3 linked regions of the Arabidopsis thaliana genome follow. The protein of the gene in region 3 interacts with the protein of the main gene of each other region in a pairwise test. Each region holds a gene or a part of one and is shown on either strand. Other genes may lie near its edges.

Evidence for each region.
Region 1: the proteins of CYCH;1 (region 3) and CDKD1;3 interact in a two-hybrid assay, tested with the Arabidopsis thaliana proteins (2 studies listed by BioGRID, with this or other methods).
Region 2: the proteins of CYCH;1 (region 3) and CAK4 interact in a two-hybrid assay, tested with the Arabidopsis thaliana proteins (2 studies listed by BioGRID, with this or other methods).

Annotation. Positions count from the first base shown.
Region 1 is NC_003070.9:6,204,853-6,215,619, reverse strand, and holds CDKD1;3 (cyclin-dependent kinase D1;3), read left to right. Parts: upstream 1-6,091; 5' UTR 6,092-6,320; coding exon 6,321-6,419; intron 6,420-6,564; coding exon 6,565-6,863; intron 6,864-6,949; coding exon 6,950-7,058; intron 7,059-7,158; exon of another isoform or gene 7,159-7,474; intron 7,475-7,487; coding exon 7,488-7,613; intron 7,614-7,766; coding exon 7,767-8,002; intron 8,003-8,081; coding exon 8,082-8,339; intron 8,340-8,443; coding exon 8,444-8,492; 3' UTR 8,493-8,749; downstream 8,750-10,767. Other genes in the region: AT1G18070 (Translation elongation factor EF1A/initiation factor IF2gamma family protein), read left to right, coding at 1-27, 243-381, 467-602, 726-790, 871-1,035, 1,170-1,242, 1,326-1,384; AT1G18060 (microbial collagenase), read left to right, coding at 2,306-2,452, 2,788-2,970, 3,076-3,135, 3,265-3,555; AT1G18050 (SWAP/surp RNA-binding domain protein), read left to right, coding at 4,032-4,354, 5,065-5,135, 5,378-5,658; AT1G18030 (Protein phosphatase 2C family protein), read right to left, coding at 8,942-9,052, 9,253-9,300, 9,406-9,495, 9,688-9,771, 9,857-10,018, 10,133-10,185, 10,346-10,390, 10,497-10,533 and 1 more.
Region 2 is NC_003070.9:24,890,546-24,901,415, forward strand, and holds CAK4 (CDK-activating kinase 4), read left to right. Parts: upstream 1-3,977; 5' UTR 3,978-4,229; coding exon 4,230-4,331; intron 4,332-4,417; coding exon 4,418-4,716; intron 4,717-4,791; coding exon 4,792-4,900; intron 4,901-5,782; coding exon 5,783-5,908; intron 5,909-5,983; coding exon 5,984-6,219; intron 6,220-6,295; coding exon 6,296-6,470; 3' UTR 6,471-6,714; downstream 6,715-10,870. Other genes in the region: LIG6 (DNA LIGASE 6), read left to right, coding at 89-150, 258-419, 499-587, 719-818, 970-1,278; SGA2 (ASF1 like histone chaperone), read left to right, coding at 2,041-2,149, 2,449-2,564, 2,638-3,003.
Region 3 is NC_003076.8:9,767,103-9,778,984, forward strand, and holds CYCH;1 (cyclin H;1), read left to right. Parts: upstream 1-4,200; 5' UTR 4,201-4,659; coding exon 4,660-4,719; intron 4,720-4,935; coding exon 4,936-4,986; intron 4,987-5,062; coding exon 5,063-5,141; intron 5,142-5,237; coding exon 5,238-5,350; intron 5,351-5,457; coding exon 5,458-5,531; intron 5,532-5,713; coding exon 5,714-5,834; intron 5,835-5,942; coding exon 5,943-6,011; intron 6,012-6,280; coding exon 6,281-6,322; intron 6,323-6,505; coding exon 6,506-6,583; intron 6,584-6,934; coding exon 6,935-6,993; intron 6,994-7,131; coding exon 7,132-7,216; coding exon of another isoform or gene 7,217-7,282; exon of another isoform or gene 7,283-7,301; coding exon 7,302-7,577; coding exon of another isoform or gene 7,578-7,582; 3' UTR 7,583-7,773; downstream 7,774-11,882. Other genes in the region: ALY1 (protein ALWAYS EARLY 1), read left to right, coding at 49-111, 293-607, 681-859, 938-1,214, 1,302-1,493, 1,597-1,734, 1,872-1,949, 2,053-2,322 and 1 more; ACBP5 (acyl-CoA binding protein 5), read left to right, coding at 8,999-9,160, 9,405-9,475, 9,844-9,907, 9,995-10,066, 10,185-10,376, 10,475-10,552, 10,716-10,826, 10,952-11,018 and 3 more. UniProt on the Arabidopsis thaliana protein: Associates with CDK-2 and CDK-3 and activates the CDK kinases.

The sequences.
Region 1 (10,767 bases), on a different chromosome or scaffold from region 3:
GCCACGCGATCCTAATGGTCCATTCAGGTGAACCGCCGCTGCCCACTTTTTGTTTTCTCTCTTTTTATTCCGGTTGTTCTTTGTTATTAATTATTGGTCGTTGCATTTCAGGAAATCAATTACTTGTGTATAATCATGTTTTAAATGGATTAACACATCTCTGTGCATTGTTTTATATATCACATGCAACTTCTACAACTTTGGCATGTCTTTTACTGTAAACCAATCTCTGTATGTTGTAGACTGTTAACCGGAATCGATTTTATGAATTGTAGGATGCCAATTATTGATAAGTTCAAGGACATGGGAACTGTTGTTATGGGAAAAGTAGAATCTGGCAGCATTCGGGAGGGTGATTCCTTGGTTGTTATGCCGAACAAGGTGCTTTCAGATGTTTTTTTCTTTCTCAGTTCATATTTCATTGCCAGTTTATTGTTTTCCTGATGACTTTCATGAATCAATGTAGGAACAAGTGAAAGTTGTTGCTATATATTGCGATGAGGATAAAGTTAAGCGTGCAGGACCGGGTGAGAATTTGAGAGTTCGTATTACTGGCATTGAAGATGAGGACATCCTTTCTGGTTTTGTTTTATCCAGCATTGGTGAGTATAATGCTTTACAGATTGCCTTCACAATAAATGATTTGCATTGCCATTTTTTTTTTTGGCTTAATATCCGAATTCTTAGTCTTCTCTTAGCTGTTTTTTCTTTGTTTTCTGTTGCAGTAAACCCTGTCCCTGCTGTTACCGAGTTTGTTGCCCAACTACAAATCCTTGAGCTGCTTGACAACGTAAGGCACACGTTCTAGAATGTTATTTGTTTGAGTATATACAGTTTTAAATAATCTTCATTATTTTGCTGCTCGTGTAGGCTATTTTTACAGCTGGTTACAAGGCAATTCTCCACATCCATGCGGTTGTCGAGGAGTGTGAGATTATCGAATTGAAAAGCCAAATTGATCTCAAGACAAGGAAACCAATGAAAAAGAAAGTTTTGTTTGTGAAGAATGGTGCTGCTGTTGTGTGCCGCATCCAGGTTTGTCTCCTCCTAACTACCGTTTCCTGTTTCTCTTATACACGTATTCATAGCCAGAAGTTTTAAGTTACTTATATTTATATATTTATATTTCGCAAATTATTATTTCTCAACCCTTGCTGTATCACTTGCAGGTTACGAATTCAATTTGTATTGAAAAATTCTCAGATTTCCCTCAACTTGGAAGATTCACTCTACGAACTGAAGGTAAGAAGAGATTTCAGAGATATCAAATGCAATGCTTAATGCATTTAGTTTTACTCATCCTAATTATCTGAGATACGGTACAGGAAAAACAATTGCTGTTGGAAAGGTTACCGAGCTCTTAAGTTCTGTCTCAAGCGCTTGATCCAAATTTTGTGAGAGAAAAGGTGAGGAGTCTTATGATTTCAATTATTTTTAAGCCACCATATGGAAGAATTAACTTTAGAAAATGGCCAATCTAAACCTGGGTTCTGTTTCTTTGGAAAGCAGGAGACGGCTTTCGGGTTGCACCAGGAGGGAGATTAGGAAAACGCTTCATGAATGATTCGGACTAAGAAATCTGAGTTCCCTAAAACCCAAGTCCTAATACCTGTTTTTTTCAGTGCACAGTTGAGATTTACAAGCTGCGGAGAGGTGTTACCTGAGACCGATTTTCCTTTATATTTCAAAGCTAGAGAGAATTATGATGAACGTGAGTGAGAGTTTACTTTTCTTTCAAATTAAATTAACAGTTAATACGACTACCTCCCTTTTGGCTGGCGAGTATGTTTTTTGGCTATTTGGAGATTGATATTTCATAGTTGAAGAAACTCTATTCGTTCCTTAATACTTGTCAGACAAGTATTGGTTTCTAGCTCATTCTAGCTTTTTGCTTCATACGACAAGTTATTTCGTTGTTTCGGTCAGGTTAATCCATAAATAACCTCGTGCATCCAAGTTCACTCGAAATGGATTGGATTTTGTCTATAGAACATAAGCTGCAATTATGAAACCGAATTGGATCAAGTTAAACACGATGGAAATTTATTGAAATTTTATACTGGCTATAAAACTTTAACATACAACAATTCTTAAAATTGGAAGGATTCGGTCCGAGGACATTGAGGTAAAGGTCGACACAAACAATATACAACTGAAAGCTTTTCTCAACCAAATAAAACTTGTGGATTACAATGAAACGACGAGCTCTAGTGTGTTTTTGTTTTTGGTTTGTCTGAAAAAGTGATGTGGAAGAAAAAACAAGAATGATGAAGAGGGAAAAAAAGTGAGGAGCTTCTCAGAGACGATGATGGTCTCACTAGCTTCATGTGTTTCGTCCCCATCTTCTTCGTCTCTGTTCTTTAGTCGTCGGGAGAGATTACATTTGGTGAAAGCCACGGTGGATGGCAGGAACCAGATTGTCCCACCGGCAAAAGATCAAATCCCTAACAAAGTAAGCAGCACCCTTCTTCATTTCGATTGTGTTTGAAAAGATAGTGTTAGACCGATGAAGAGTCGTTTCATAACGAACTCCTTCAGAGAAATTCAGTTGAGGAGTACAAAGCTTATCCAAGTTACTTTCTGGTCAAATTTATATTTTGGGACTCTTCGCATAAGTGTTATGTGTTTACTTCTAGCTCTAGGAGATAGAATTTCATGGAACCAAGGTGGTTATTAGAGTTTTGGTTGAATCGAATGGAAATTACATGAATTCTAACTAACTTTAAGATTCTGAATATATCTAGGCAACTAGTTTTTACTTGATTGTGAAATGATTTTGAAATGTAGCAAGTAACGGAGAGTGTGAATGTATTAAAAACGGCTGCAAAAACTCGGAAAGTTGCAGCAGATGAGATTTTAGCTGCTTTCTCTGCTATCGAAAAGGCTAAGATTGATCCATCCACTTTCCTTGAAACGCTTGGTGGTCCCGAGTCTCCTGGACGAACATGGATGCTTATCTTCACCGCCGAGGTACCATTAGATATTCAATTAGCCTTTACATGTTTTTATAAATATTGCAGTCTTGATTGATCCATTCAAATCATTGACTTGGGATCTTATATACCATAAATACAGAAGAAACTGACGAAAGGTCGTTATTTCCCTCTAACTGCTGTTCAGAGATTTGATGCTGCGGTAAGTCTCTAAACTGGTTCTAGTACTGCTTTAGGGTCTGATTGGTAAAAGTGTTGAGGCACTTTAAAATCCTGAAAGCCGATATTTTGGAAGTAACAAAACAATTCTTGTGCTTGATTTTTCAACCAGGGAAAAAGAATAGAGAATGGGGTGTATCTTGGTCCATTTGGAGCATTAACATTCGAAGGAAGGTTTTCATGGAAGAATCGGATACTAGCTTTTGTCTTCGAACAGATCCGCATAAAGATTGGACCATTAGATCCTCTAGAGTTCAGCTTGGGGAAGAAAGACGCTGTGGAAGAGCCTAGTAATAAAGACCCTTTCTTCATTTGGTTCTACATCGATGAAGAAATAGCCGTTGCTCGAGGTAGAAGTGGCGGTACAGCTTTCTGGTGTCGTTGTCGTCGCATTGCTTCCTAATGACTCTCTTCTACTTCTCAGAAGCTGCCTCTCCTTGTAAATGATATTTGAAGATATTGAGCCTATTTGTAATGTTCGGAAAAAAGGTCTATTTCCCCATGGGAACTATCGCATCTGGCTAGATGAAGCCCGATCTTTGACCTCTTGCTATTTACCCATGAAATGAAAGTTAAACGTCTATTTCCCCACCAATTAAAAGTTCAAGAGCTTAATGTCCCCGAAATAAAACTTCGAGAACTTAATGTCCATGAACTGGATTAAGTCGGTTTACTGTATGCGAAACCGATGACTTAACCAACTAAACCTATTTAGAACCAGAATAAACCTAATTTAAACCAAAATTATGACCCGTAACCCGACTCTCGAACCTAAACAAAAAAATCCCCAAATTCTCTCCCGACGAACCCTAATTTAACCTGACGAATCCTCAAATCCAGTTTTTCCAAACCCTAAAACTTTGATCGATCGATGTCGGGATGTCGTTAATCCATCACGACCCCGATCTTGATGGTGATGTCGATCCCGAAGCTGAAGACAGAGATAACTTTCACCTGGAAGAAATGCTAAACGAGTGGACCGACGAACCACCAATTCGCCACGACGTGTACCCGGAGAGCGATGGTGAAGGAGCCGACGACAGTTCCGACATACATGTGAGGCGTGGTGATGGGTTTTTGTACCAAAAGCAGAGTTTCTTCAGTGGAGTTGCGTTCAAAGAGGCGGTTATAGATTATGCTCTGAGAACTGGACATAATCCAACATCTCTTTGGCACTCCAACCACTCTTCCTCGACCACGAGGTCCTGTAGATCCCGACGAACTTGATGACAGATTGCTCATCTTTCAACTGGAAATAAAAAAATTGGGAATCGATTTAGGGTTCTTGAGTTTTGAGTTTGGGGTTTTAGATTTTGGATTTGGGATTCGACAATGGATCGGGTTTTAAAAACGAATCCGGGTTTTTTTGGTTTGGTTTTGACCGATAATATGGTTTCGTCTCGGGTTTACGTATCAAACCGAAGTAACCACGATTCGGGGACATTAAGCTCTTGAACTTTTAATTGGTGGGGAAATAGACGTTTAACTTTCATTTCATGGGTAAATAGCAAGAGGTCAAAGATCGGGCTTCATCTAGCCAGATGCGATAGTTCCCATGGGGAAATAGACCGTTTTTCCGTAATGTTCTGATGTTAAACAGAATGGTTTTATAACATAACAGTTCATGTATGTATGATTTGGTTCTTACCGGTTAAGTAGATAATGTATGGTGAAAATGGAAAACGACGTCTCTCACAACAAAAAACAACTAAAACCCAAAATCTCGACCCAAAACCGAATTTAACTTCAAATTAAGTAAATATGGCCCGAAGTTATAAGCCCGAATAACAGAGGCCCATTATAAAACCTGGAGCACAAGTTTCTCGTCTATAAGTGCTAGGCTACGCATAGGGCTCCGTGGATTTGTTCTAAGAGGATATTCTCCGTTGATTTGCAATTGTCAATTTCCAAGCTTCAGAACTAGAGTTCGTTCGTTCACGACGTCACTGTGGCTCTCGCGGCGTGGCTGTTACTTTCCGGTGGGTGAGGTACGGTACTTGTTATCTCTCTCCGAAACCCTAAGTAGTCCTTGGATATGTATCTTTGCCTTTTCTTATATTTACGTTTAGGAAGATAATTCGTTTTCTTGGTAGTTTACCCCTTGTATAAATATAGTCATATAGAGCTCAGGGTCAAGTGATAATCAACACATTCAATCGATCTCTTTGCATCTCTTGTCATCAAGGGTTAACTTTATCTATTATTTTGTGTTTCTCTTTGTATAGAAAAGAGATGTCGAGTGATTTGCAATCGAACTCCGGCAGATGTACCTCCGAGGACTAGATATTATGCGGATAGCTCAGCCCGTTTGGTTTTCATGGAGGGGCCTGAGATGGAGAGAAAGATGATGACAAGCTATGCGGGAAACCCAAAGTACTCCTTCTTCTGGAGCTCAGATCGTTATCATGCTTATTACCAGAAAAAGCTTGCTGGATACCGTGCGCAGAATTACATGAGGGACCTGAGATCAAACTTAGTGATTATGGGATACCTGATGTTCCATTGAGGGTGAGGGTAAGGGAACCACCGCTTCAGATTCCAAAACCTCCTCCGGGCTTTGCTAGTGACCAGAAGCCGACAATGAAGTATCCGCCTCCACCACCTCGCAAGTATGCAGCTATACTCCCTGAATGGATTACTGGCAAAGAGCTTGAAACTATCAAGGAAGGGGATATGGACGAGAAACAGCAACGATAGCTCTTAAGAAATCAGCTAAACTCTAGCAAAAACACGTGGATTGCTAATATGCTTTATAGGTTATAGGTTAAATTTGTTGAGGTATAAAACAGTCATTTCAAAAAATCAAAAATTCACGATTAATTTAGCTATTGTTTAAAAGTTTAGATATTAAATAATATTTTTCTCTTTTATAAATCGAAAATGTTTGGATATTAAATGTATAAAAAACTAGAAAAGTAAATAATTGGGCGTTTCTCTTTATTTGTTGTTTCCCTCGATTAGCCGATTGCGTCTGCAAACGCGCCAACGGCTACTTTTTCTCCGGAGCCGGAGCTCTCAAAGCTGAAACCCTAAATTTTCCCGGTATCTTCCTCATCGTCGATTTTACTCAATTTAGAATAAAAATCGGAAAGCAATCGAATTCTAGCGACGTGAATTAAGAAGAAAGAGAGAGGCGCGATTATTGAGTGGGTTCTGAAAAACCCGAAAATGCCGGAGCAGCCAAAGAAAGTTGCTGATAGGTATCTCAAGCAAGAGGTTCTTGGGCAAGGTACCTATGGAGTCGTCTTCAAAGCCACTGATACTAAGGTCATATCTTTGCTGATTTTTGTTTGCAAAATTAGGGTTTAGGATCTGTCGGCAATTCCTAATTTCTCCTTCTTTTTTGGTTCCGGATTTTGATTGAAGTTTTTGTTGGATCAAGGGGAAGTAATTGTGGGGTGTAATTTTGCAGACGGAACAAACTGTAGCAATTAAGAAGATAAGGCTTGGTAAACAAAGAGAAGGTGTAAATATTACAGCTCTCAGAGAAATCAAAATGCTCAAAGAGCTAAAGCATCCTCATATTATTCTGCTCATTGATGCATTTCCTCACAAGGAAAACTTGCATCTTGTCTTTGAGTTCATGGAGACTGACCTCGAAGCAGTTATTCGCGATTCTAACATTTTCCTCTCACCCGCCGACATTAAATCCTACCTCCTAATGACATTTAAAGGACTTGCTTATTGCCACGATAAATGGGTTTTGCACAGGTACATTTGTTTATCCTTAACAACTTGCTTATTGTCTCTGTAATGTTGCTTGGTTTGGGCACTGATTATGTGTGGCTTGAGTTCAGGGATATGAAGCCAAATAACTTGTTAATAGGAGTTGATGGACAGCTTAAGCTTGCAGATTTTGGCTTAGCACGTATATTTGGTAGTCCAAATCGTAAGTTTACCCACCAGGTATGCCTTTTGCCGCATTGCCATTTTATCTATTGCTGTAATATAACCAAATTGATCGACTAACTCATATGAAATATTGATAAGAAAGTTTTAAGTAGTTCTTATCAGTAGTTATGTCTAGGGATGAGGAAGATTAGATGTCTCATGTCTTTTCATTTCTCTAGTTGTATACTAAATGTAACATGTATTAAACAGTCTCAACTCATATTAAATGATGGTGCAGTAGCTATCTCATATCTGTACTAAAAGTTTTGCTGTTAACCGGATTTTTGACCTGAGCTATTTCTGCCTTCTTTGTTTCCCTTTGAACACCCAAAATTACAATAGAATCCATGTGAGCTCTGTTTCCAAATGCGCAATGCAACTTATTTTCTCTTGTTTCTAGTTGTTATATTATCTTCATATCTTGATATATCTGATAATGCACAGGTGTTTGCTAGATGGTACAGAGCACCAGAACTTTTGTTTGGTGCAAAACAATATGGTGCTGCAGTTGATGTTTGGGCCGTTGCCTGCATATTCGCCGAACTTCTACTACGCAGACCATTTCTTCAGGTTAAATAATCTTACTCAAATCTAATGGCTACCATTAAAACTTTAGTCCAATTGTCATCTCTTTGGATGTTATACTCACTCTCAGACTACATAATTACATATTCATTATCAATTTTCTCGGTATGTTTACTTATTCTATTTTTGCCGTTGCAGGGAAACAGTGATATTGATCAATTAAGCAAAATATTTGCTGCTTTTGGGACACCAAAAGCAGATCAGTGGCCGGATTTAACAAAGCTTCCAGATTATGTAGAGTATCAATTTGTCCCTGCACCGTCTCTACGTTCTTTATTCCCAGCAGTTAGTGATGATGCTCTCGACTTGTTGTCCAAAATGTTTACCTATGACCCAAAGGCTAGAATTTCCATTAAGCAGGCTCTAGAACACAGGTGCCTAATGTTCACCATCTGTTTATAGGCAAAGTATATCTAGCGTTCTGCTCTCACACCTTTGTTTTCATTATTTCAGGTACTTCACTTCTGCACCTGCTCCTACTGACCCGGCTAAGCTCCCAAAGCCCGTTCCTAAGCAGGATGGTAAATCATCTTACGGTAAACATGAGGCCATTACAGTGCAATCACCACCACGTAAGCTTAGAAGAGTGATGCCTGAGCGTGGGAGGGTTGATAGTTTGAAGTCTCATGTTGACAAGGATCAACAAGCACCCATGTCATTAGATTTTACCATCCTCGCTGAGCGACCTCCAAACAGGCCAACAATCACCAGGTAAAAAACAAGACAGTTTCTCCCTCACTGCATATTAATCTCATTTGTCATTACAGCCTCAAGATTGATTGTGTTTTAATGACTTCTTCTTGTTCAATTTGTAGTGCTGATAGATCTCATCTGAAGAGGAAACTCGATCTTGAGTTCCAGTAAGACTGTTGGTTATGCACTCTTCTCTTAGCTTCTCCATTTTCATGTTCTGGTGAAACCACACCATTGTTAAGTTGTCAATTTACTGCTGCTTGTGTAATCTGGCGATTTATTCTTTTCCATATTTAGCTTGATTACAAACCAGAGGGACCTTAGATTCACAATGATAATATTTTGTTGTCCCATAGGCTTTTTATTCATTGTAAACTGATCATACTGTACTATGAAGTCTATGATTATAAAGCTTTCTACTTTTTGCTTCTAGAATTCTTTGCGGTACAAAGAGAGCTCTGTTTAATCTTCAAACTCATTTTTCTTTCGATGGTGGCCCCAGGAATTTAATTGATCCATTGACAGCTCAAAAAGATTTTACCAAATACCAACAACAGGTTTATAAAACACATACGAGCCAGAAAAACAGATGCCCACATGTCAGTCAGGCTCTTCTTTAGTCATACCCGCTTGAAGACTATCACGATTGCTGTGCAGTTGTCTTTGCAACGACGTTCTTTCACAGCTTCCTTCACAAGACGGCGACTTACCGTGCTTACATGCAAGCCCTCCTACAAAATCATAGTTCTTAGCCTCTTAGTTTCTCACATTTAATTTCCCTTGACACTCTTTACTTGTGTGCACAAGGTTCTAACAAGCCATTTTGCTCACATGGCTACCGAAAAACATCTGTTTTTTGAGCTTCTTTCTATGTAGTTAAAGAGAGTGTGAAATGGAGGACAAAGTGATTTTGACAACTGTAGGTATTTACCTTCAAAAGTTTCTGGACAAATCCAACAGCATCACTTGGTCCAAACACCTGAAAACGGTTGCATTGTGTATGAGCAGCAAACTTTGATATATAAAGACAAAATGAAATGTTCTTATAGAGCACTGCAAAACCACAAACGAAGAGCTTACTTACTTCCCACAATCCATCGCAACCAAGAATCATGAAGTTTTCTCTCTCAGTTAATTCAAAAGCATGAATGTCTGGAGTTGCACTGACACCAAACTAGATTCAATAACTTGCGTTAGATGCGAATAAACCATAAGATTTTAGGATAAGTTACAGATTCTAGGCATTTGAAGTTGCAAAATGATATGGAGCAAGGTTCAAGAACATGTCGATAGAATATTGCACGCGAGAGCTAAAATGTCACAGATAATGGGCTCAATATAAAGTGGGAAGCCACCGGATCATTACCTTCTTAAAATGACGATCACCAAAAGCCCTAGAAACCTCAAGACGCCCTTGTAACCGTCCATTTGAGCTTATAACACCACCTGACTGTGAAACTCATAGCAAGTTATCAACAGAGCATGGTGTGCTCACATTTACTTGGAAGTCTCTGTCTGGCTCATCAAAAACTAACCTTTTGAATGCGAGAGCGCTCCTGTGGATAAATTGCTTTGTGCTCTCTCGTCAAAACAATTGCTTTGAGTGGATTACCTGCTTCTGTATGATTCCCCAATTCGTTGGTAGTAGAGGATCGTGCCAAAACAGCCTTAGCATCACCGATATTGGCAACAAAAACCTATAAAGCATGAGAGTTTATGGGTGTGAATACTGGAGAAAAGGTCGAGTTATTTTATGAAATTTATCTAGAGAGTAAAAATATTGAATTCCAGAGACCCCATCACAGTCATACCTTTTGATCAAGTATCCAGACACAGACTGCTGTGGCTCCATCTTGCCATCCTCCTGTACAAGACACAGGTCAGAGAGAAGCATAAATATGAATGAACTAAGAGATTCTATGGAGAAGATATAGGAAAGCAATCAACAGCCGAGATAAAAGCTCAGACATTCGAAACATAGATGCAGAATATAGCCAAGACAAACACACACATACACAAACTACCTGAAACACTTTTTTGCAGGAGCAACTCATCAGTTTTCCGGAAACCTGAAAGTAAAATTGCTTTAACAGTTGAGAACCTGTGGATCTGAAAAGCCATAATGAAATGACTAAAAAGTTTTAAGAGACTTATGAAGTAAACTTATATATGTACCTTCAAGAATGGCCTTTTTAGCAACTTTGACATCCAGCTGAAACAGCAATTTGACAGAGAAGAAGGTGAAGTGAGACCGAGTGAATGACATGAAAACAGTTGTAAAGACATAATTAATATGAACCAAGTAAGACAGACCAACTCACGTGGTAACCCAGCTGAAAGAACGTTAAGGTGAAGATGCTTCTTAGCAAACTCTGCAGCTAAACGACCTCCATGCCCATCATAAATTGCAAAATGCGCACACCTACATACCAATACAGAAAAGCCT
Region 2 (10,870 bases), on a different chromosome or scaffold from region 3:
CTTTTTTCCTTAACTTGATGCATTCATTTTCTCTACCAGGTTCATATATGTCCACTCTTATCTTACTTGGTTTTGCTTGAACTTACAGGTCTAAAGGAGGTCTTCCCTGAGACTAGGCCAGGTTATCTTGAGTATGCTAAGGAAATAACTGTAAGTGCTACGGTAGTTTCTCACCTAGAAGTTATAGGCTATAGCCTTCTTCTGTATCTAAGTGTTTTGGTATTTTCATTGAACTGATCATTGTTTGATTTTTATAGGTGGGAGCAGAAGAAGCGTCTCTGAATAATCATGACACATTGAGTAGGATAAATGCTTTTCTTGAAGAAGCATTTCAGTCATCTTGTGAAGGAATCATGGTCAAGTCTTTAGATGTAAATGCTGGATACTGCCCCACAAAGCGCTCTGATTCATGGCTCAAGGTCTCTTTGCTGTAAATTATCTTACTAAAACATAATGTGATGGAAATGGATTAAATAATGCTTTTCTTTTCTGGCTCAGGTTAAGCGAGATTATGTAGATGGATTGGGCGATACATTGGATTTAGTTCCTATTGGTGCTTGGTATGGCAATGGGAGAAAAGCAGGATGGTAGTAAAAACATATTTTCCAACTTTCTCTTTTTTTTTTTCTGAAAAGCAGAATTGTAATCATAAGTTTACTGGTAATTTCTCAAATGCATCTTGATGAATTCTGATGTTTTTTATATATTTTGTGTGTAGGTATAGTCCATTCCTTATGGCCTGCTTCAACCCTGAGACTGAAGAATTCCAGAGTGTCTGCCGTGTCATGTCTGGTTTTTCTGATGCCTTTTACATCGAGGTAATGAAAAGCTCAACTCTAACGTTGTTGTTTAATGATGAAACAGATGGGGTAGTAAATACGTTGGGTTTGGTCTATACTTGGACTCCTAATTGTCACGTGAGAACCATTTCAAGCTTGATTCTACTTTCTTATTTTGCTTATCTTGCAGATGAAAGAATTCTACTCGGAGGATAAGATCCTTGCGAAAAAGCCGCCTTACTACAGAACAGGGGAGACACCTGACATGTGGTTTTCCGCAGAGGTAGTTTGGGAAATCAGAGGTGCTGATTTCACAGTCTCGCCTGTTCACAGTGCCAGTTTAGGTCTCGTCCATCCATCGCGAGGCATCTCTGTTAGGTTTCCGAGATTTATCAGTAAAGTGACAGATAGAAATCCTGAAGAATGTAGTACGGCTACAGATATCGCAGAGATGTTTCATGCTCAAACCAGAAAAATGAACATCACTTCTCAACATTAACACGCTTCCTATCTGCTTTTGGTTCGTTTAGACTTTTTTTTTTTTTTTTTTTTTTGCTATCAAGCACTTGCAAAGTTGCAAGGGTGTTTAAATAGGAACCTAACTCACAAAATATTTTTTGTGGTTTTTAATCTGTAGGTAGAATGTGTAAATATTTCTACCTAGAACTATGTGAATATTTAACCCATCTGTATATATTATCTATGTGCGTCACTTTTTCTTTTTTGATGTCGTAAACACAAATGGTAACACTGGTAACAAAATATTGAAAGATAGAAAAAAAAAAAAGTATATAGGATATGATTGGTAATCTCTTATTTGTGTCACTAATCGATTGAATTCTATATTTTTTTCGTATTTATGTGTTGGACACTAAAATTATCAAATATTTAGCAAATTTCCCTGCTGCATTTCGTGAGTTAAAGTATTCCTCCCGCCAATTCAACTTAACCGGTAGTAGCCGGTCACCATTCCAACGACAACCGGTTATAAGAAAGCCATCCCCAAAATTGAAAACATTTTCATCGTCTTCTTAATCAAAAAAAAAAAAAAAAAAAAACTCTGAAGCTTCTTCTTTGATTAATTCTCTCCTGGGGAAAAAAAACCCTAGCTCTTCCTTCTTCTCTCTTCTCTTGAATTATCTGCTTTCGAATTTTTTGAAAAGGGAGAAACTTTTTCATCTGGGTCTCTCTCTCTCCCGAGTTTGGATGAAGTTTATTGAAACCTAGGGTTTTTCTCCGACTTGGTTGTTGATTAGAGATAATGAGTGCAATCAAAATCACCAACGTCGCTGTATTGCATAATCCTGCTCCTTTTGTTAGCCCTTTTCAGTTCGAGATTTCTTACGAGTGTTTGAATTCTCTCAAAGACGGTAAAAATCTCCTCTTTCTCCTTCCCCTGAATTGTAATTCATCTCGACTTTATTTAGGTTTTAGTCTCTGCTGATTCTTATGGATTGTTTTCAACACCAATTTGTTGCTGCTGATTGTAATTGGAACATATTGTTACCTAATTGCTTTGTCAGAGTCATGCTCTAATGGTTTGTTTTCTAATTGATAATCTAGAGTCTTGTTGTCTATTAGTTGGATTTATCTATGCACAAGTTCTTGGTTAACATTGTTATAGGGTGAGGATAACTTAGATAGACCCGTGCTTTTGCTTGTGGTACAGATTTGGAATGGAAGCTTATCTATGTAGGCTCAGCAGAAGATGAGACTTATGATCAACTTCTAGAGAGTGTGCTTGTAGGGCCTGTTAATGTTGGCAACTACCGCTTTGTATTTCAGGTAACATATGCACTACTACCTCTTCCAAGCACCAACAAAGTCTTGGTCTAACTCTCTATTACTACTGTTACAGGCTGATCCTCCGGATCCATCAAAGATTCAGGAGGAAGACATCATCGGTGTTACTGTGCTATTGTTGACATGTTCTTACATGGGTCAAGAGTTCTTGAGAGTTGGATATTACGTGAACAATGATTATGAGGATGAGCAACTCAAGGAAGAGCCTCCAACTAAGGTTTTGATTGATAAAGTTCAGAGGAACATACTTTCCGACAAACCTAGAGTTACTAAATTTCCTATAGATTTTCATCCAGAAGAAGAGCAGACTGCTGCTACTGCCGCTCCTCCTGAACAATCTGATGAACAACAACCTAATGTCAATGGTGAAGCTCAGGTTTTACCTGATCAGTCAGTAGAACCAAAACCTGAGGAATCATGATCCTTATACCAAGTCTAGTTGAAGAAAAGTGGATGAGAATTGAGAACTATTGTCTCCACAGATGTTGCGCTTTGCTTTTCTGTCTTTCAAAAGCATTATATGCTGTTTGTTGTACTTAATTCTAGAGGCTTTAGGGAAGTGATTCTTGACATTTTTGTATGTTTATGTTTTGGGCAAAGGTTTTTTAAATCGAAGCAAAGCCAACAGTTGCCAAACAAGATTCTGAGTTCTGATGGTTGGAATTTGGTAATAGGTGTAGAATAACTTCCCTAGATTTTCTCAAGGTACAAAGCGACATTTGATCTTCATCATTTGTTGAAAAAAGTGCCGTTAAATGGTCATAGTTAGCATTGATGATGATGATTATCATCATCATCAACCATAATTCTTTCACCAAAAAAACATGAGTCCGTGATTTTTTTAGGACCGTTTCACAGTTGTTCTGCCAAAAATATGAGTCCGCATTTATTCACCAAAAAAAAAAAAAAAAAAAAAGTAGTACACATTACAATTTCTCGCCTAACGATTTTACTCTGTGGTAAACCGAAAGATAGTTAAAAACGGCTCCATTTCGATTACTTTGAAAAAAAAAAAATGTTTGTTTTGTTAAAAGAAAATATCTTTTAAAATATTAAAAAATATTTTATTCAAACTTTTATTAATACAGATCTAATTACTAAACTCAATAACATTATAAAAGCCGTGTTCGGCTAAGCCCAGTAAGCCCTATATGTTTTGAATAAATACGATATTTTATAATAAACAGATTGTTGTTTTTAAATACCTAATAATACATAATATATTCCTATACTTGACAATAACGAATAAGAATTATATTACCTATTATTTTGGATTTCGTAAAATTATTTTATATTTTTTTTAGGTAAATGGTAAATTTGTAAAAAATAGCTACTTTGATATTTATATTGTGTATTATTTTCTACTCGATAAGATTAATCATCAATAGTTCGAGGTGGAGGGTTAAATTATCTAGGGTCTGATGATCATGTAGAATCACTTCCTGCAAACAAATCACGAGTGTTAGCATATTTATGCTATCCACAGTATCATATGGCTGTTTCTGATTATTTCATAAATATAAGGTTCGTTTCATAAAACACAAAATCTTACGGGTATAAAATTGAAACCAAAGAATTCAATTTCTTAAAAGTGTTTCACTAGGAGCCCTCGTACTTCCTCGAAGTGTACCGGAGAATCTAAACCCAATGTCGAAATCCGGCGATAATCAACCAGTTGATAGATACCTCCGCCGTCAAATCCTCGGAGAAGGAACATACGGTGTCGTTTACAAAGCCACCGACACAAAGGTAAAATCAAAAACCCTTCCCGATTTCGTTTTCAATTTCATCAAGATTTTCAAACTCAACAATCTTCGATTTTGTGATTTCCTTAGACTGGGAAAACTGTAGCAGTGAAGAAGATAAGATTAGGAAACCAAAAGGAAGGAGTAAATTTCACAGCTTTAAGAGAAATCAAGCTACTAAAAGAGCTGAATCATCCACATATCGTTGAACTCATTGATGCTTTCCCTCACGATGGAAGTTTGCATCTAGTTTTTGAGTATATGCAAACAGATTTAGAAGCAGTGATTCGTGATCGTAATATCTTTTTATCTCCTGGTGATATTAAGTCTTATATGTTGATGACTTTGAAGGGTTTAGCTTATTGTCATAAGAAATGGGTTCTTCACAGGTAAGAAGTTATGCTTAGGTTTATAAAGATTTGATTTTGATTGTGTTGATGGTTTGTTTTTGGTGTGGTTGTTAGGGATATGAAGCCGAATAATTTGTTGATTGGAGAGAATGGTTTGTTGAAGTTGGCTGATTTTGGTTTGGCGAGGTTGTTTGGGAGTCCGAATCGGAGGTTTACTCATCAGGTATTGATGCTATGATTGATACGGTTTTGAGCTTGGTAGCTAGGTTAGTGTAGTTCTTGATGATCTTATTGGATTTATTGGTTAGGTATTTATATAGTTATTGATATTTATGGTTGCATTGGTAGCTAGATTAGTCTGGAGTTTGTAGTAAATATCTTGGTACTTCTTCTTGATGATCTATTTTGAATTTTATGCTCAAAATGAAGAGTCGGTACAGAGTATTGAGAAGATATCATACTTTATGTGTGTTTGGTTTTGGTGAGGTGAAAGATTGTATTGACATTTTTTTACCCTAGAAGATTCTGAGATTGATTAGTTATGAAGAAATCTCTTCTATTTTTTGTTTGAATTGACAGGTAGATTAGTCTTGTTCTTGATGATCTATTGGTTTTTTTTTGCTGGGACAAACTAAGAGTATATATAGTGCATTGAGAAGACATACTATGTTTTTAATTCGAATGCTTGCATACCTATGTTATTGGTTTCGGTTGGTGATTACAAGTTTAAGTTTCCGGATAGCATTTTGTTGATTACGGTCATATTAACATTTTGACTCAAGAAGATTCTGCAATTGATTAGTTCTGTAGAAGTCTCTTTTTGCTGGATATGGAAAAATTGATACAGAGTATTAAGAAGACATCATACGGTTTTAATTTTGATTCTTGCATACCTGTGTTTTTCGATTTTGGTGAGATGAGAGATTGATGGTTCAAAGTCACCAGATACAGTTTTGTTACTTACGGATGTATTAACATTGTTACTTTAGAAAGATTCTGAGATTTATTGGTTGTGTAACTTGTGTAGATATCTCATTTGGTTAGCTATTTGTATCTGCTTGTGGAAGATTCGTTAAGTTTAAATTGGTTATACTTATTCACACAGGTATTTGCTACATGGTACAGAGCGCCTGAGTTACTGTTTGGGAGTCGACAGTATGGAGCAGGAGTTGATGTTTGGGCTGCAGGCTGTATTTTTGCTGAGTTACTACTTCGTAGACCATTTCTTCCGGTAATGCTCTATACCCTTCGTACTTCATGTTTAAAAAGTCTGTAGTTCTCTAAACATTTCCTATACTTTCTTCAGGGTTCTACTGAGATTGATCAACTTGGAAAGATCTTTCAAGCGTTTGGTACTCCAGTACCTTCCCAATGGTCTGACATGATCTATCTCCCAGACTACATGGAATTCTCCTATACACCCGCTCCACCATTACGTACCATTTTCCCTATGGCAAGTGATGACGCTTTGGATCTTCTAGCAAAAATGTTCATCTACGACCCACGTCAAAGGATCACAATACAACAAGCTTTAGACCACAGGTATACTCTTGAAAAAGAAACCCACGGGACAAAAATTCTGTTTCATCACTCTGATTATCATTGGTTTTTTCATCAGGTATTTCTCGTCTTCTCCATCACCAACTGAGCCAGGGAAGCTTCAGATTCCAGCTTCCAAAGGAGACGCACTCGAACCAAAGGCCTCCGAGCAAAACCAACATGGAAATAGCCCAGCGGTACTGTCTCCTCCTGGTAAAATGAGGAGAGTGATGGGTCCTGAAGGATTCACTTGAGAAGATGATGTTTCATTTCTTTTGGAAAATATCAATGGATATGCCCAGAAGATTTCAAAATTAGATTTTTACCATTGATAATTCAATATTAGTTAACTATCAAAGAGAAAAAATTTAAAGCCATAAATGTCCTTCTTAGTTCTTACTTTGTTTAATTTACCAAATATGTCATGTATCAACTATTGTTATAATTTCACTATATATCAACTATCTTACCATATTAATATAAATATTATTCAGATATTTAATATGTTAGCACGTTATATTCAGTATAACATGTTATTATAAAGTTAAATTGATTATTTCATATTAATTTGTATGATATGGTAAATGGTTTAATACGATATATAAAAATTTATCGTGATACTATACTAGTTAACATATTAATCAAATAGTTATATATATTTAGCACGATACTATACTAGTTAACATGTTAATCAAATAGTTATCCACATAAATCATAAATATTTTATGCAATCCAATGATAAATACGACAGTGTCGTAAATTTCGGATGAATAGTGTCTTCAGGCAGTTGATGAACAGTATCATGTCTAAAATATCCGGTAATAAATAGTGTTTTGAGACAATGACATATTTAGTAAATTAAACAAAATGAAAAAGGAAATTTATGATTTTAATTTTTTTCTCTTTCATACTTACCTAATATTAAACTATCTATAATAGATATCTAATTTTCAAGTCTTCCAGGCATATACATTAATATAGCTCTTTCCTTTTTTCCTTTCCTTGACTATAATCACTAATGGAGAGGTATATACAGTAATGACTTTAATTTCTAGAATTGCGTTTCGTAATGCTTTTCTACAAAGTAGTTACCATAAAAAAATATCAAACGAGAAGCCATCTTTTGACCTCATCCATGTCTAATATCTATTGACGTTAAATTCCTTCGAACCTTAAACTGATAAAAAAAAATTATCTTCAATAAACTTAAATTTATGATATAACACTGACCGAAGAAAAAACTAATTTTTCTAAAGAAAACACATTTAATGTTTAATTATAATTGCACTAAATTCTCACTCTAAACATTTTTCCATGACTATGAACCAATAATAATTCAAATATATGTACACGTGAGTGTCTTAATCAGTGGTTGATCATATTCATATTGTCAATTTGTGATTAATATTCATTGGGAAGCAGTGATCTTGTTGTATAGGGACTAGGCTTTCACAATATCTGCAATTTCCACTCCTATTGGCGATCCATACATATTTCATTGGCCCACTAAAAAAATAAATTCCAAAACAATTGGCATTACTACAAATACTTACTCTTTCGGTTTCATAAAGAATGTTTTTCTATAATTTTATATTTGTTCATAAAGACTTCTAAAACTAATCACTTATTAAATATGGACTCATGTATATATATATATTTTTTTTAATTTGTATGAAATGTGTCAAAATGATATTTTTTCAAGCCGATGAAGTACTAAACAATCTCTATTTGGTGCGGTTTGGTTTTTGAAGTTATGATTCTTTTGACTCACTCTTACGATCAGGAACTCACAGTTTGGACTTTGGACATAGACCGTGACCGGCCCATGAGAGACACGAGTTAAACTTTGAATTTAGAAGAAAAGAGTATTAAAAAAATGACCTTTGTGGTTACCCCACTGCAAAACGACCTCACTCAGATGAGGGCTAACAAATTGGAATTGGAGGCAGCAATTATGCCACTTGGCTAAGTAGTTGAGGCAGTGACGCGGCGATATTATCCATGTATATAATGTGTGAAGCCAAAAACGATTGTAACATTTTTCTCTGATCTTAGGTATTAATACGAGAATTCAATTTTTTCCGACAATTTGTTGAAAGCTTTCTCTGTCAACAATAAAATGAACGTGCATTAAATACCAAGGTTGGCTCTATCTAAGAAGCCAATTCGGTTAACCAAAGTATTTCTAGAGGGTTACCTAAATTAACCAAAAGAAATCCGGGTTCGGTTTTGGTTAGTGTAAAACTATTTGTTTTTGTACATTTTCTCATGAAATTGCTTATTAGTACCATATCTCCGTACCAATTTTTTTTTTTATTATTACTTTAAGAGTCTCACTAAGCAATTACCCATGAGATAACATGGTGTACCGCAATAATACAACGTTACCTATGAAACTTCGAGTAGTTAGAAAGTTTTGACAACACCTTTAATTTGATTTGAAGCATGCAATCACCAAATCTCTAGTAACTACTGTTCAAAGGTTGCTTATAGTGTGGCCGAGAGGTATGCCATCATCGACTTCACTATTCTTCGCGGAAACAACTCTTTTGCGATAGATCTCAACTTCACCAATCGGATCTCTTTCATCGATTAGATTGATAAAGTTATTCCATGTCAAAGGAAAAAAACAAAGAGATAGTTGGATTATCAAGATGCATGAAGTATGTGGAGTGCTTTTTTAAACCAAGTGAACGTAAATATGAATTTGTATACATAATACATGTGATTAGAGTTAGTTTAACATAAGTAAAAAAGAAAGTTGAAACTATCAAAATGCTCTGTGTAAGTATTAATTATTTCTTCCAACACACGATGTCAGAAGTCAGAACCGATTATTAATACTTTTCTCAACAACTTCTGTTTCTTTATTTATTTTTGATAACTTCGACGAGGATAAGTAAGAAAATGGCTTCCTCTTTTTCAGTGTGTATAATGCAGTTCTTGACTGGACTACTCTCAATTGGATATCACGGATTGTGAATACATATTCTCGGTTATAACTTTTAACTTTATAAGTTATACTTTTATTTAGTTTCACAATAAGTGTGGTTTAATTCTTACAAGTTTGTATCAAAATAGGTATTGTTTTATATTTTGAATGTAGTTACAGTATTTGGTGAAATTGCAATTCTATTCTTACTATTTTAATGTATTGACCAATAAAAAAAAGTTGTATAATATATTAATAAGAGATAAACAAAAAAAATGTTTTTACTATATGTGAAGAACCTGTAAATGACATTGTGAATACATATATTCTCGGTTATAACTTTTAACTTTATAAGTTATACATTTCTTTCTTTTCACAATAAGTGTCGTTTTAGTGTTAAAATTTTATTTCAAAATAAGTATTGTTATTATTTTTAGTGTAGATATTTGGTAAATATTCAATTTTAATGTATTGACCAATTATAAAAAATTGTATAATATATTAATAAGCGATAGACAAAAAAATCTAATTGTTTTTTTACTATATGTGAAGAACCTGTAAATGACATTTATACTAAAACGTAAAAAGTATGTATGATATATTGAATCAAAAATAATACTAGTAATCAGTAGTTAAGTTACATCTATTTTGTTAACGAAATAGTAAAAAAAAATGTCATTAAGAGACGGATTTATTATTGATATCAAGTAGAGCAAAATTTGTTTGTTTAGAAACACAAACAAAATCTTAACTTTGGCGGTTTAGTCTGACTAATTTCAAATTTATGTTGTGGAGTATATAAAGTCGATAGTACTTTTTAACAATGATTTTGAAAACTAAAACTTTATGTTATTGGAGTATTATCATGGATTGGAGTTTTTGTCAATGAATTAACATGGAGATGTGGATTAGGTTAGGTTCATCGAGATATGTATTTAAAGTTGAAACATGTGTTTTATTATTATTCTTTTCATTTATTTATTTTTTTCTTTCTGTCGGTCAGTATTGAAACATGTGTTTAGTTTCATTTGTCCTCTCAGGCCTCAGCATGTCTAGTCTAGGAGTATTCTTTATGTTTCAAAATATAAGAGGTTTTAGTTAAATATGCAGATTAAGAAATATCCATTTTTAAAAAAATTCAACCATTCATAAAAATATCATATAATATAAATAATTATAAAATATTAAATTAATCTATAGTTATGTTACACAATTTACATAAATCACGCTGTCATGAGTAGTCTTTTTCATATATCATCTATTGACAAAATAACAATTTATCTTGTTGTTCTTTTGAAAACTAGCTATTACTACATATATTATACATTTTTTTTCTCATAAGTGGTTTAACGCTGACAAAAAAAATCTATTGTAAGATGGTAACCACTGAAAGCCATCTTAGGTTCAATACTTAAATAAATGATATGATATTAAAAATATTGATCATGGACCGATGTTTATCGATTTGAGCCAATGCAATCAATACGAAGAGAGACTTTTATTCCTTATTCTTTAGAAATGTATATCTCATTTTATGACTAATTAAATAATAACTGATGATCAGTATGTGGTTCTATACATTTAAAAATCTTCTAATTCAGTTTTTTTTTTTTTTTTGGTATCGATGTTAAGTATTTATACCGTTTTCAAGTTTGAGACAGAATACAGAGTAAACAATAGAAGCAAAAAAAAAAAAAAAAAAAAAAAAAGGGAGAAAGACTA
Region 3 (11,882 bases):
CGTGTCATTCTTCTGTGTATCACATAGCTATATGCAAATTACATTCAGTTTCAGGTGCTAGATGTTGTAGCTCCAAAAGAGTCTACACAGGACAAATCTCTATATACTAAGGTATTCTTTTAAACCTATAGATATGCAAAACCCGCTTCTCTCCTATTTAATCGTACTCTGTGATCTGCGGTTACTCCTTGTAATTTTAGAATCCTTGACAAATTCTTTTGATCAAAGAAGCTTATGCTTTAGTAGTTTTTGTTTGTGCTTTCTCTAATGATTTTTGTTTATTGCATTGCAGGAATCGGCTGAAGTTGATAGTTTGAAGACTCCCGTCAAAGCAAGACGTTCTAGTCAAGGTCCAGCAAAACAGCTGAAAACTGCAAAGACCACGGTAGAATCTTCTTCAGCTAGTGATAAGAAAATAACTGGACCGGATGCAGTAGTGCCAGCTACACAAGTTTCAGCTTCGGGTCCAGAGACTTTGCCACAGAAACCACCAAACAGGCGTAAGATAAGTTTGAAGAAAAGTTTACAAGAAAGAGCTAAATCTTTAGAAACCACTCATGACAAACCACGTAGTTTCAAAAAACTTTCAGAACATGAATTACTACAGGTGAGTCTCTAACTTCATTTTTCTTATACAAATCAAATAAATCTGGTCTCTTATTTGCTTATTCCATTTACAGGAGAAGTTGTCAAATTGTCTGTCATATCCATTGGTACGTCGATGGTGCATATATGAATGGTTCTACAGTGCTATTGACTATCCCTGGTTTGCAAAGATGGAGTTCACTGATTATCTAAATCATGTGGGGCTTGGTCACGCTCCAAGACTTACTCGTGTTGAATGGAGTGTCATTAAAAGGTTTGTTAAAGTTTCTGTGTATGTATGTCGATGGAATTATAAAGATACAAAAGGTTACTCATTCTGTAATTTTTTCAGTTCTCTCGGTAGACCTCGGAGATTGTCTCAGAGATTCCTACAGGATGAGCGGGATAAACTCCAAGAATATCGTGAGTCTGTGAGAAAGCATTATACAGAGCTGCGTGGATGTGCTACGGGAGTGCTTCATACAGATTTGGCCCGTCCTTTATCAGTCGGGAATAGAGTGATTGCCATCCATCCTAAAACACGGGAGATTCGTGATGGCAAGATTCTTACTGTGGATCATAACAAGTGCAACGTTCTCTTTGATGAATTGGGTGTCGAGTTAGTTATGGTAAATCACAAACTATATCAATTCCGTTGATAGTTTGTCCATTTTTTGTATATCTCAGATGATCTAATAAATCCTTTTTTCTGACAGGACATTGACTGCATGCCTTTAAATCCATTGGAATACATGCCAGAGGGTCTAAGGAGGCAAATTGATAAGTGCTTGGCTATATGCAAAGAAGCAAGGCTTAACAGACACCCAAGCTCTGATGCATCTGTTCTGTTCTCTCCTTCTGTGCTTGAAAATGTCAACTTTTCCATGAATCCTCCTCCTGCGAAACAGGTAAACAAAGATTGACGTTTGACTCGTGTGTCAAAGCTTTGATCTTCGTCTTTCTTTCCATACATTTTTTAATCTCTGTGGATAATTCCATAATTCTCTGCAGGATGATATCAGAGAGCCAGTTTTGTATGGTAAAGTAATAGCAACCAACACTACTGATCAATCTATCGTAATCAATAGCAAAGTAACAGGAACAGAAATTCAACGGACTCTGGCACTGCAGCATACTTCCGATGCGCAGGTAACTAAAAAGTCTATGCCTGTGGAAACTTTGTCTTTAGATTGCTCATGTTCGAATAAGTATAGACTTATTTTGTGTACTCTTTTTGCTAATAGTAACAGCTACAGAAATTCTTTTCTCATGATTCTGCTTTCCAGGAAATGGAGCCAGAAATGATTGAAATTGTCATTGAATCAAAGTCAATAGCGCAAGCAATGGTGGATGCAGCTATAAAGGTATTTATAATATATCTAGAGACTTCAGAGTCTTCTAAATACAGAGAAGCCAAATTCATACAACTCTAACATCTTTTGTTTAAATCGTTGTCAACCGTTTTAGGCTGCATCGTCGGGGAAGAACAATGAAGACTCAGAGAATATGGTTCACCAAGCTTTAAGCTCCATTGGCGAACATCAGCCATTAGACAACTCTATAGTGCCTGGTATCAAGCATCAAGAGTATACCAATGGCAGCTTGGATCATCATTCCTTAAACACAGCAGAGCCGATGAGTAACGGTTTCATCTCACAGGAAGGATCAGGAAAAAACAAAACACCAATGCCTTCAGAGCTTATCACCTCTTGTGTTGCATCTTGGCTCATGATGCAGGTAAAGGAAATAATTTTGTCTTGGACTAACGAAAGTGTAATCTAAATCAAGAATACCAAAGTTTTCACTTGATGCGGTTTTGATTAGAACTCTTTGTGTGTTATTTACCTGCAGATGATCTCAAAGAAGCAGTACCCACCAGCAGATGTGGCTCAGCTAATGGATACAGTAGTGAATGACTTGCAGCCACGGTGTCCACAGAATATGCCGATATACAGAGAAATTCAAACTTGTATGGGATTGATCAAGACTCAAATAATGGCTCTTGTAAGAACGTCATGAAACATTTGTGTCCTTTGTAATTAACCTGACATCGAAGATAACACTTGGAGATCAGATTTAATTGTTTGGATTGTAGAGGTTAGTTTAGTTTATAGTTAGTTAATAATTTGAACAGCTCCAAAGGCTGTTGATAATTAGTTACCATTGATTCTGTAACTTTTTTTTGTCATCATTCATTGTAACTTTGGTTACCTTTTACTTTGGAGCTGTTTTTTTTTTCTTTCTTTCTCAGTGATTATTTTCTTGGGTCATTTTGGATCCTAATGGCTGAAATAATTTATTCCCACCTTAATACAAAATCTCAAATATATACTATTCCTTAACTAAAATTCTAGAACAATGCCAAATGGATATGTTTGAAATACCTTTAATAACAACTAGGATTTAACCTGTGGTGTACCACGGACAAATGTTTTATTCATATATAATAATATTAAATTTTACGGTTTTTAATTTAGTATTTAAGTTTTATAATTTTATATTAATGTTATAACTAAAACAAATGGTGATGATAAAATAATAAAATAAATATTTAACATGTGCTATATCAATCCAAACTCGTCCCACTATATTTCATATCAATCCAAACCCGTCCCGCTATATTTCTCATCTCATGATATTTTTTTATAAGTTTAAATAATAATAATGTTTTATAAAGTTAAAATATATCTATAATATTTAAAAATAATAATTATTTTTTACTTAAGTTGGAAAGATTTTTGGAAACGTTTGTTGAGCGCAATATAAAGTATTTAAATTTTCAAATCTGAATAATTAATACCAATTATATATCTTGAAAGATCTTTGGCAACTATTGTTGAATATAATATCTTGTATTTAATTATCGACAGGAAATATTTAATGTCAATGGCATGACATTGTAAATACAAGTACAAAATTTATTTGCTAAAATGGCTGCAAAAATGTATATGTAGATTTACTTCTAATTTTAATGTTTCAAAGGACAAAACTAGGCATGACCATAAAATCCGAAGCCCGAAAAACCTAGTTCGCTTTGGTTCGAGTGGATCTAAAGTGTTTATTTTGGGGTTTTGGTTTGGTTCGTGTAGGATCTGAAACCTGAACAGATACCTGAAATATCGAAACTCAAACGGATACATGTAACTCGAAATAATACGTATACATAATTTGTCGGTAAATTCAGGTTCAATATCAGGTTTCAATTAAATTTGAGAACCAGCCCGAACCCGAATAGACCTCAACCGATATTTTCAGTTCCTAAATGTATTTTCAATCTCTTTACCAAAGTAACCCAAAAACCCAATCTAAACAGACCCGAAAATCCGAATGTCCAGACCTAACTAAAATCGTGAGTCAAACTCAAAAAATGATTGATTAACACTATATTATACTTTTACTTAGATTCTATAAATTGGACACATGTATGGGTGTTATTAAGGGTTGGAAACATAAATTTAAGCCATGACCTTATTTTTGGTTGGAAAATTCTTGTTCTTTTTTTTGTTAGTAAAGGGCTGTTAATAAGGGTTTTAATGGGTTAGCGAACGACACCGTTTATAATAAATATGTTTGCTAAACGACATCGTTTGACCTTAGGGTTTATTGTTTAACATGAAAGAACGTCGTTTCACCAACGTTTCTTCTTCCTCGCAAGTCTCAAAGCCAGGAACGATCTCGCCGTATGAGCAACTTCCGACATTAACACTGTATTGCTCTGCCGTACTCTCCTCTTTTTCCCTTCATACTCGTCTTCACATCTGAATTCCGACAAGATATTGCGTCTGCTCTCCTCTCTTCCCTCATTCTCGTCTTCTCATTACCAAAAACATCTTCTTCTCGTAGCTAACTCAATCCAATTCCAATCTCCATTCAAATCGAGCACCAGATAATTTTTTCTCCTAAATTCTAATATAAGCCCTAAAATTCAAAATTGAAATATCTATAGAATCTCCTTCCGATTCAGACGGATAATCGCCATCAACAGCGTGTGAATTCGATCAAAAATCTGAACTTTCCACAAAGAAATTCGAAAGCTCAGATTTTTCGATTTCGAAAATTTTGAAAACTCAGTTAATGGCGGATTTTCAGACATCAACACAACGGGCCAAGTGGATTTTCACTCCCCAGAAACTGGTAATCCCCTTCTCCTTCTGATCACTACAATGCGGCTTTATAATTATATTTTGTTCATCTTTGGATTTTCTTTGCTTTGATTGCTTCATAGAGAGTCGGATTAATCGAGCATTTGGAACTCTTTGTTACTTAGTTATGTGTGTTGTTGTTGTTATTATCTTACTTGTTGTGTAGAGATATTGGTATTGCAACTAAGCTGTAATGTTGTAATTGTAGGCAGAGAGATATAAAGCTGCTAACCAGAGGGCAGTGCAAATGCTGGAGAAGGTTTGTTAGAATAATTGTTGATATGGAGCTTTAGTCCTGTATTCATGTTTAGATTTTAACTTATTGTTATTCATAGTGTGGAACAACTCAAGTTGAAGTAGATGCTAGTGGATCACTAACATATCCTAAAGATAAAGTTGGTTCAGGAGATCAAGGTAAAAATTTTGGTTCCTTCAATATCTACTTCATACGTATCATAGTTTTGTTTGTCGAAGTTTAAATAATGTTACTTTTTGCTTTGTTACTCTCAGCTGATAAGAAGCTTAAGCCTTTGAGTGCTGATGAAGAAAGGTTCATGAGAGCATTTTATGAGGCAAAGGTCCAAGAAGTGTGCAGTGCCTTTGCATTTCCTCACAAGATTCAGGTGCATTTCTACTCGTCGAGATAGAAGTTTATGATGAAGTTAAAAATAAAATACCTGATTTTTGTTTGCTCTCTGAATTTATGTTTCTTCCTTCTAATATTTTGCAGGCAACAGCCCTCCAATACTTTAAGAGATTTTATCTGCAATGGTCTGTTATGCAACATCATCCAAAAGAGATAATGTATAGTTCTTTTAAATCCTCAAAATGGTCAAAAGCTTTGCTTTTTTCAAGAGAATAGTTTTGAAATTGTTTACCAAATGGAGCTAAGCATTTTGTATTTCTGAGCTCTGAGAGGCTTTTTAAGTCAGTCATAAATGGTCCATTGTTGTAATTTGGACTAATTGTTACCTTTCATTGAACAGGTTAACCTGTGTGTATGCAGCTTGTAAAATAGAGGAGAATCATGTATCTGCTGAGGAAATTGGGAAAGGGATTAACCAAGATCACCGAATAATTCTCAAGTACGAGATGGCTGTTCTTCAGGTATGATATGAGTCAATTAATTTGTACCAACTTCCCTATGTTTATTTTTCCCTGGTGTTCTTTTCTCTCTCTATTCTTTTGTTCATATTATATTAACTCTATGTGCAGAGTTTGGAATTTGATCTGATTGTTTATGCACCGTATCGTGCAATCGAAGGTTTTGTCAACAACATGGAGGTAAATCAGTCCTGTCTAAATTTCTTAGTAGGTTTTCTTATTTCAACTGGCTTTTCTCTGTTTACATCTTATAGTGATGAGACTCTTTTTCAGTTTATTGGCAATTGTTTTGTTGCAAACAAAATTCTGAATGTTAACTTAACGCCAAGAACTTGGTGAACCATAATAGGATATACCAAGATTTTCAATACTTTTTTCGGTGTGTTATTTTTCATCCTTGTTGAACTTCACGCTATCTTCAAAAGTAACCTCATCTTTTCATCCTATAGGAATTTCTTCAAGCTAGAGATGATGAAATCCAAAAACTAGAGGTAGATCTATCTTCAGATATTTCCTTTATCTTCACTAGATTTTAAGCATGTGGTAACTGAATGTGGGATCAAAATGTAAATTTTAGTGTAAGTTTGTGATCATAGCTGTAAGTCTATTTACTTAACAGGCTTTATTGAAATATTATTTTCTCATACTGGCATAACTTTTCAAGTATTCTGCAGAGTTTGCTCAAAGGGGCGACAGCAGAAGCCGATAAAGTTATGCTCACAGATGCTCCACTCCTCTTTCCTCCTGGCCAGGTGGGCATGCTAGTTTATTTTGTCTCCCTAGCCTCTTATTATCAGATTAAAGATACTGAATAATATCCATCAAAGAATCTGGTTAAACTCATTGTTTGGGATATTTCAGTAAAGCTTTAAATATGCTACTCAAGACATAAATTTAGGATGAAAGTTGGTGCTTTGTTTTCTCTTTGACTGATATTTAAGTGAAATTAATGAATGTTTATGATATAGTAGTATAGCTTATCGATATATACTCACCTTGTTCCTTCTTTCAGGATTTTTCGTTTTTCTTTAGCGTATATGTAACAAAAGAAGTATCACAAATTGTTGTACTGTCTCTCAACTCTTGAACGTGTGCCCTTGTAGTTGGCATTGGCGTCGTTACGTATTGCAAATGGGGTTCTTGGAGTGATTGACTTTGATAGGTTATTTCTCTTATTCTATATCCATCCCGATTATTTACCCTTTTAATCTTTCCATGATATTAATCTCGTGGTCTTGAATTTCTGTATATGCAAAGCTTTTTACTGGTTGTATTTTCAACTAAACTGCATTTGGTGCAGGTACCTAGAGAACATTGTTTCTCAACCGAACTCTGAGCACACGACTTCAGAGCTTACAAAGTTACTTGATAACATCGAATATTTGGTATTTACTAACTTCCATAATTATCTTAACAATGAAACTTGCATATCTAAAAGGAAGTTTTACTAGATGCTCTCTCTTATCTCAGGTAAAGAACTACAAGTGCCCAAGTGAAAAGGACATGAAGCATATCAACCGGAAGCTAAAATCTTGTCTAGGACATAGTTCTTCACATGACGAGTACACTAACAACCTCTCTTCTACTAATTCTTTTAACCACTATATATATTTCATAAGCTTTGCTTCTGCAATTGACTCCCTTCTCTATTTATCTTCATCAGGAGTAAGAAACGGGAGAAGAGATCAAAACACAAGTCCCATAGGAGCTCCAATGATACACCAAACGGGGCACCGCCACCCATAGGTTGAGTTTCTCGTACTGCCATTAGCAATTCTTCCTTTGCACTTTGGTTTAGTTTTAATCTTATTGAATGAGAAATTCGTCTTTTATAGTTTCTTCCCCGTTGTTGTTCTTACTAGTAAATTTGAGCAGATTATGTATAACAATGATATTGGCCATAAGTTTTGTTTATTCTGAAGATGTTAATGAATTTATAACAAAACTTCCATTTATTTTAAGTTTTGGTGTACATAACAATCGTCAAAAATGGTTTGTTTGCGATAATGATCAACTTTTTACATGATCAAAAGTTTTTCCAGACATTTTGATACTTTCTAGTTACTACCACATCTGTTCTTACACAGAAACAAATGGATATGACTAGTGTAGCGGTAACTATCAAATCCTAATAATAACAATGAAAATTTGTATTAAATAACCAAAAACCATCGAAAATAAAATTTGGATTGTGAATGAAACTTGTAAAGATGCTTGATTGGTTGTGCTAAATGTCTTTTACAGCCATAATATATTTGTTAAAGACTAAATTGTTGCCAATTATGTTATAGTTTTTTTCTTTAACTTAGAGCCCCAAAAAAAATCTTTTTGTTTTGACTGTAAATCTTTAATTTTCTACATCCTATTTTGTGTTGTAGATTTTTTTTTTTTTGTAGATTTTTTTTTTTTTTTCTCTCCTCTAACTTTTTGTCACGATTATTTTCAACTAATAATCTAAAATGTAGTTATATGAATAACAGATAAAGTATTTTATACATTTAGACAAATAATTTATAAATTTATATAGATTCCATTTACCTAGATGTGCAGAATTCTTTTTGTGTTTTTATTATAAAATTGTTATTAAATAATTTATATATATTCCATCTACCTAGATGTGCATAATTCAATTTGTGTTTTTATTTTATAATTGCTATTAAATAATTTTAGTAATTATGATATACAATTTTCTCATTTTGAAAAAAGGTAATTTATAAATATAAAATTCAAATATTTCTTAATCATAATTTTTAGTTACAACTAAAATATTTATTGCCAAAATCCTATATTTTTCAAATCTACAAAACCAAGAGGTTACCGTCAAAATTCTACAGTTAGAGCTTATACACTTATTGCCAATATTATACATAAAATATTTTACCTTATGCAAATGCCTATGCTTTTATGGGTCATAGACGGACCTGGCTACTGTGTAACTAATCACCCACATAATTTATCAGTCAAACATAACAAATTCTTTTTGTGCCAAAAAGTCAAAAACGTTAGAAACTGGATTTTGGAAGTTGATGCATGCAAATAGCAACTTGTCGTGCCGCGCTATATAAACGCTGCATCAAGTTTTCGTAATTAACTAAAACCAAATTAGTATTAATCCGAAAACTTGAAACTGTGGCTTCCTCCTCAAATCTCCGATCAACGGAAACAAAATGGCTCACATGGTGAGAGCGAGCTCTGGCCTTTCTTACCCGGAGAGATTCTACGCCGCCGCATCGTACGTCGGCCTCGACGGATCTCAATCGTCGGTCAAACAACTCAGCTCCAAATTCTCCAACGATACCTCTTTGCTTCTCTACACGTTGCACCAGCAGGTTCGTCAATTCGATTTCAATTGAATTCCATAGGGATCTGTTGATTTCTCTTCTTTCGCAATTTGCTACAGTAGATGTTGGTACGATCTCGCTCCGTACATTAGACAATGGAACTGTGCTTATACTTGGGATCATTGCTATGCGAAAACTGGTTTATTTTGTCACTGAGAGAGAATTTATTCAATCATCTTTGTGATAAAGATGTTTACTAATTTTGAAATCTTCTGCCTTGACATGTTAACAGGCTACTCTAGGACCTTGTAGTATTCCAAAACCGAGTGCGTGGAATCCAGTAGAGCAAAGCAAATGGAAAAGGTTGGTTTCACTTTTGTGTCTGTCAATACTATTCTACATTTGGAGAGGCTTTTAAGTATCATCATCAAATGTGTAAGTAGCTTTTTTGAGTACAAGTATCAAGATGTCTCATGAATTAGGGCTACAGCAACAAGTATCGTAGATTTTAGACTTGTATTTCCATCCTAGGGGAATACATGAAATAGGAGCTACCTTGGTTTTAGCATGCAAGAAAATTACTGGTAACATGTCAGGGAATGTCATCTTAGAGAATGCCATTATGGAAAGACAGATCGAGATCGCAGACCTCATAATGGCATTCTCTAAGATGACTTTCCCTGAGCAAAGTCATCTGTGTAAGCTTCCTAAGAAAAGTACATGTTTACTAGTTGGCAGGGGCTTGGAACCATGCCCTCCATTGAGGCAATGCGTCTATTTGTGAAAATCTTGGAGGTAATATCAACAGAGGAGTTTATTCTCATTTCTCTTCATTTGTTAATCATAGGCTAATTTCTTCCTATATTGCTCACTTTTCAAAAGGAAGCAGATCCTGGTTGGTATCCAAGGACATCTAACTCTGTTCTTGACCCTGCTGTACATGTCCAAATCAATGTGAGTTTTTCATCGCCTATACGTATGATCAAATTTCAGTTTTTGTATGTAAGTATTGCTACTAATTAATATAACAATGCCTCATCCGAGAAGTATCTTACTTTTTTACCTGTTGCAGAGCACAAAGGCTGAGCCTAGTTTTGAGAGTGGAGCTTCATTTGGTGAGACAAAGACGATTACTTCTGAGGATGGGCGCTTGACAGAAACGCAAGATAAAGATGTAGTTTTGGAAGACCCAGATACTGTTTCTGTGTATAATCAGTGGACTGCACCACGAACATCAGGTCAGCCACCAAAAGCCCGATATCAGGTAATATTTAATTTGACTCTCTTGTGGAACATGAAAGGAAACGATCTCTTCGTGTATCTTCTCTCTTTTCTCATTCTTGTTTACTATATCCGTTTCAGCATGGAGCAGCGGTTATTCAAGATAAGATGTATATGTATGGTGGAAACCACAACGGCCGTTATCTAGGTGATCTTCATGTAAGCAACTTATAGCATTATTTGACAGCAGTAACTTGTCTAATCGAAATAATAGGTTTCACTTTTGCCTACCTTCAAGAACCTTCTCCCATTTATTTTTTTCTGTGACACTTCTGCTGACAATTCAGAAGCATGTCTTCTGTAAATGGTGTTTCAAATACAGGTTCTGGATTTAAAAAACTGGACTTGGTCAAGAGTTGAAACCAAGGTTGTGACTGGATCACAGGAAACATCATCTCCAGCAAAACTAACTCACTGTGCTGGTCATTCTTTGGTTAGTATTTTAACTTGCATATGTTTTGGGTTTTTCGTTTTCTAGCCTTGAAACATCAGGGGCAGGTTTCGGTTCAGTAATCTCCTCTTGAAATCACATACTGGCCTTCTTTGTTTGTTATGTAGATACCATGGGATAACCAGCTTTTGTCTATCGGTGGTCATACAAAAGATCCTTCAGAATCCATGCCAGGTAGGAGTTGAAACACTTCTGAAATGATTAATTGCGGGTAAGTTGTTATTTCTGGAGCATACCAATTCTTGTATATCAGTTTTTTCTTCTGTTTTCTCATTACAGTGATGGTCTTTGATCTACATTGCTGTTCATGGTCAATCTTAAAGACATACGGGAAGCCACCGGTAAATCATCTTTCTCCCAGTTTTTCTATGTGAAAAGTATTCCAATCTAGTAAACAAGTAAAAATTTGAATATATGGAAGGAAGAAAAATTAAAAGTTGCTCTCTCTTTCGTTCTTCATAATTTTTTCAGGTATTAAGTTGCATTCTGAACCCAATTTATCGATCTCCTCTCTGATATTGGAAATCGAACCTGTTATTAAGCTGAGAATATTTTTATCACTCTCTCTTTCTCTCTTGCTAGCAGATTTCGCGTGGAGGTCAGTCAGTGACCCTTGTGGGAAAAAGCTTGGTGATATTTGGTGGCCAGGATGCAAAGAGATCGCTTCTGAACGATTTGCATATACTTGATTTAGATACCATGACCTGGGAGGAAATTGATGCCGTGTAAGATCTTATGACATTTTTTGCATTTTATTCTCGTTTTTGAACAAGTCAGGTCCTTTAAAGACTAGAATGTAAATGAGAAAATGAATGAAATTATATAAAGCTGCCAATAATCTATTTTCATATCTCAGTTTTTAATGAAAGATCAGAAGTTCAAGGTTAATGTGCTGTCAACTTGCAGGGGTTCTCCTCCAACTCCAAGGTCTGATCATGCTGCTGCAGTGCACGCTGAGCGTTACCTTCTAATCTTTGGTGGAGGATCACATGCAACTTGTTTTGATGATCTGCACGTCCTTGATCTGCAAACTGTATG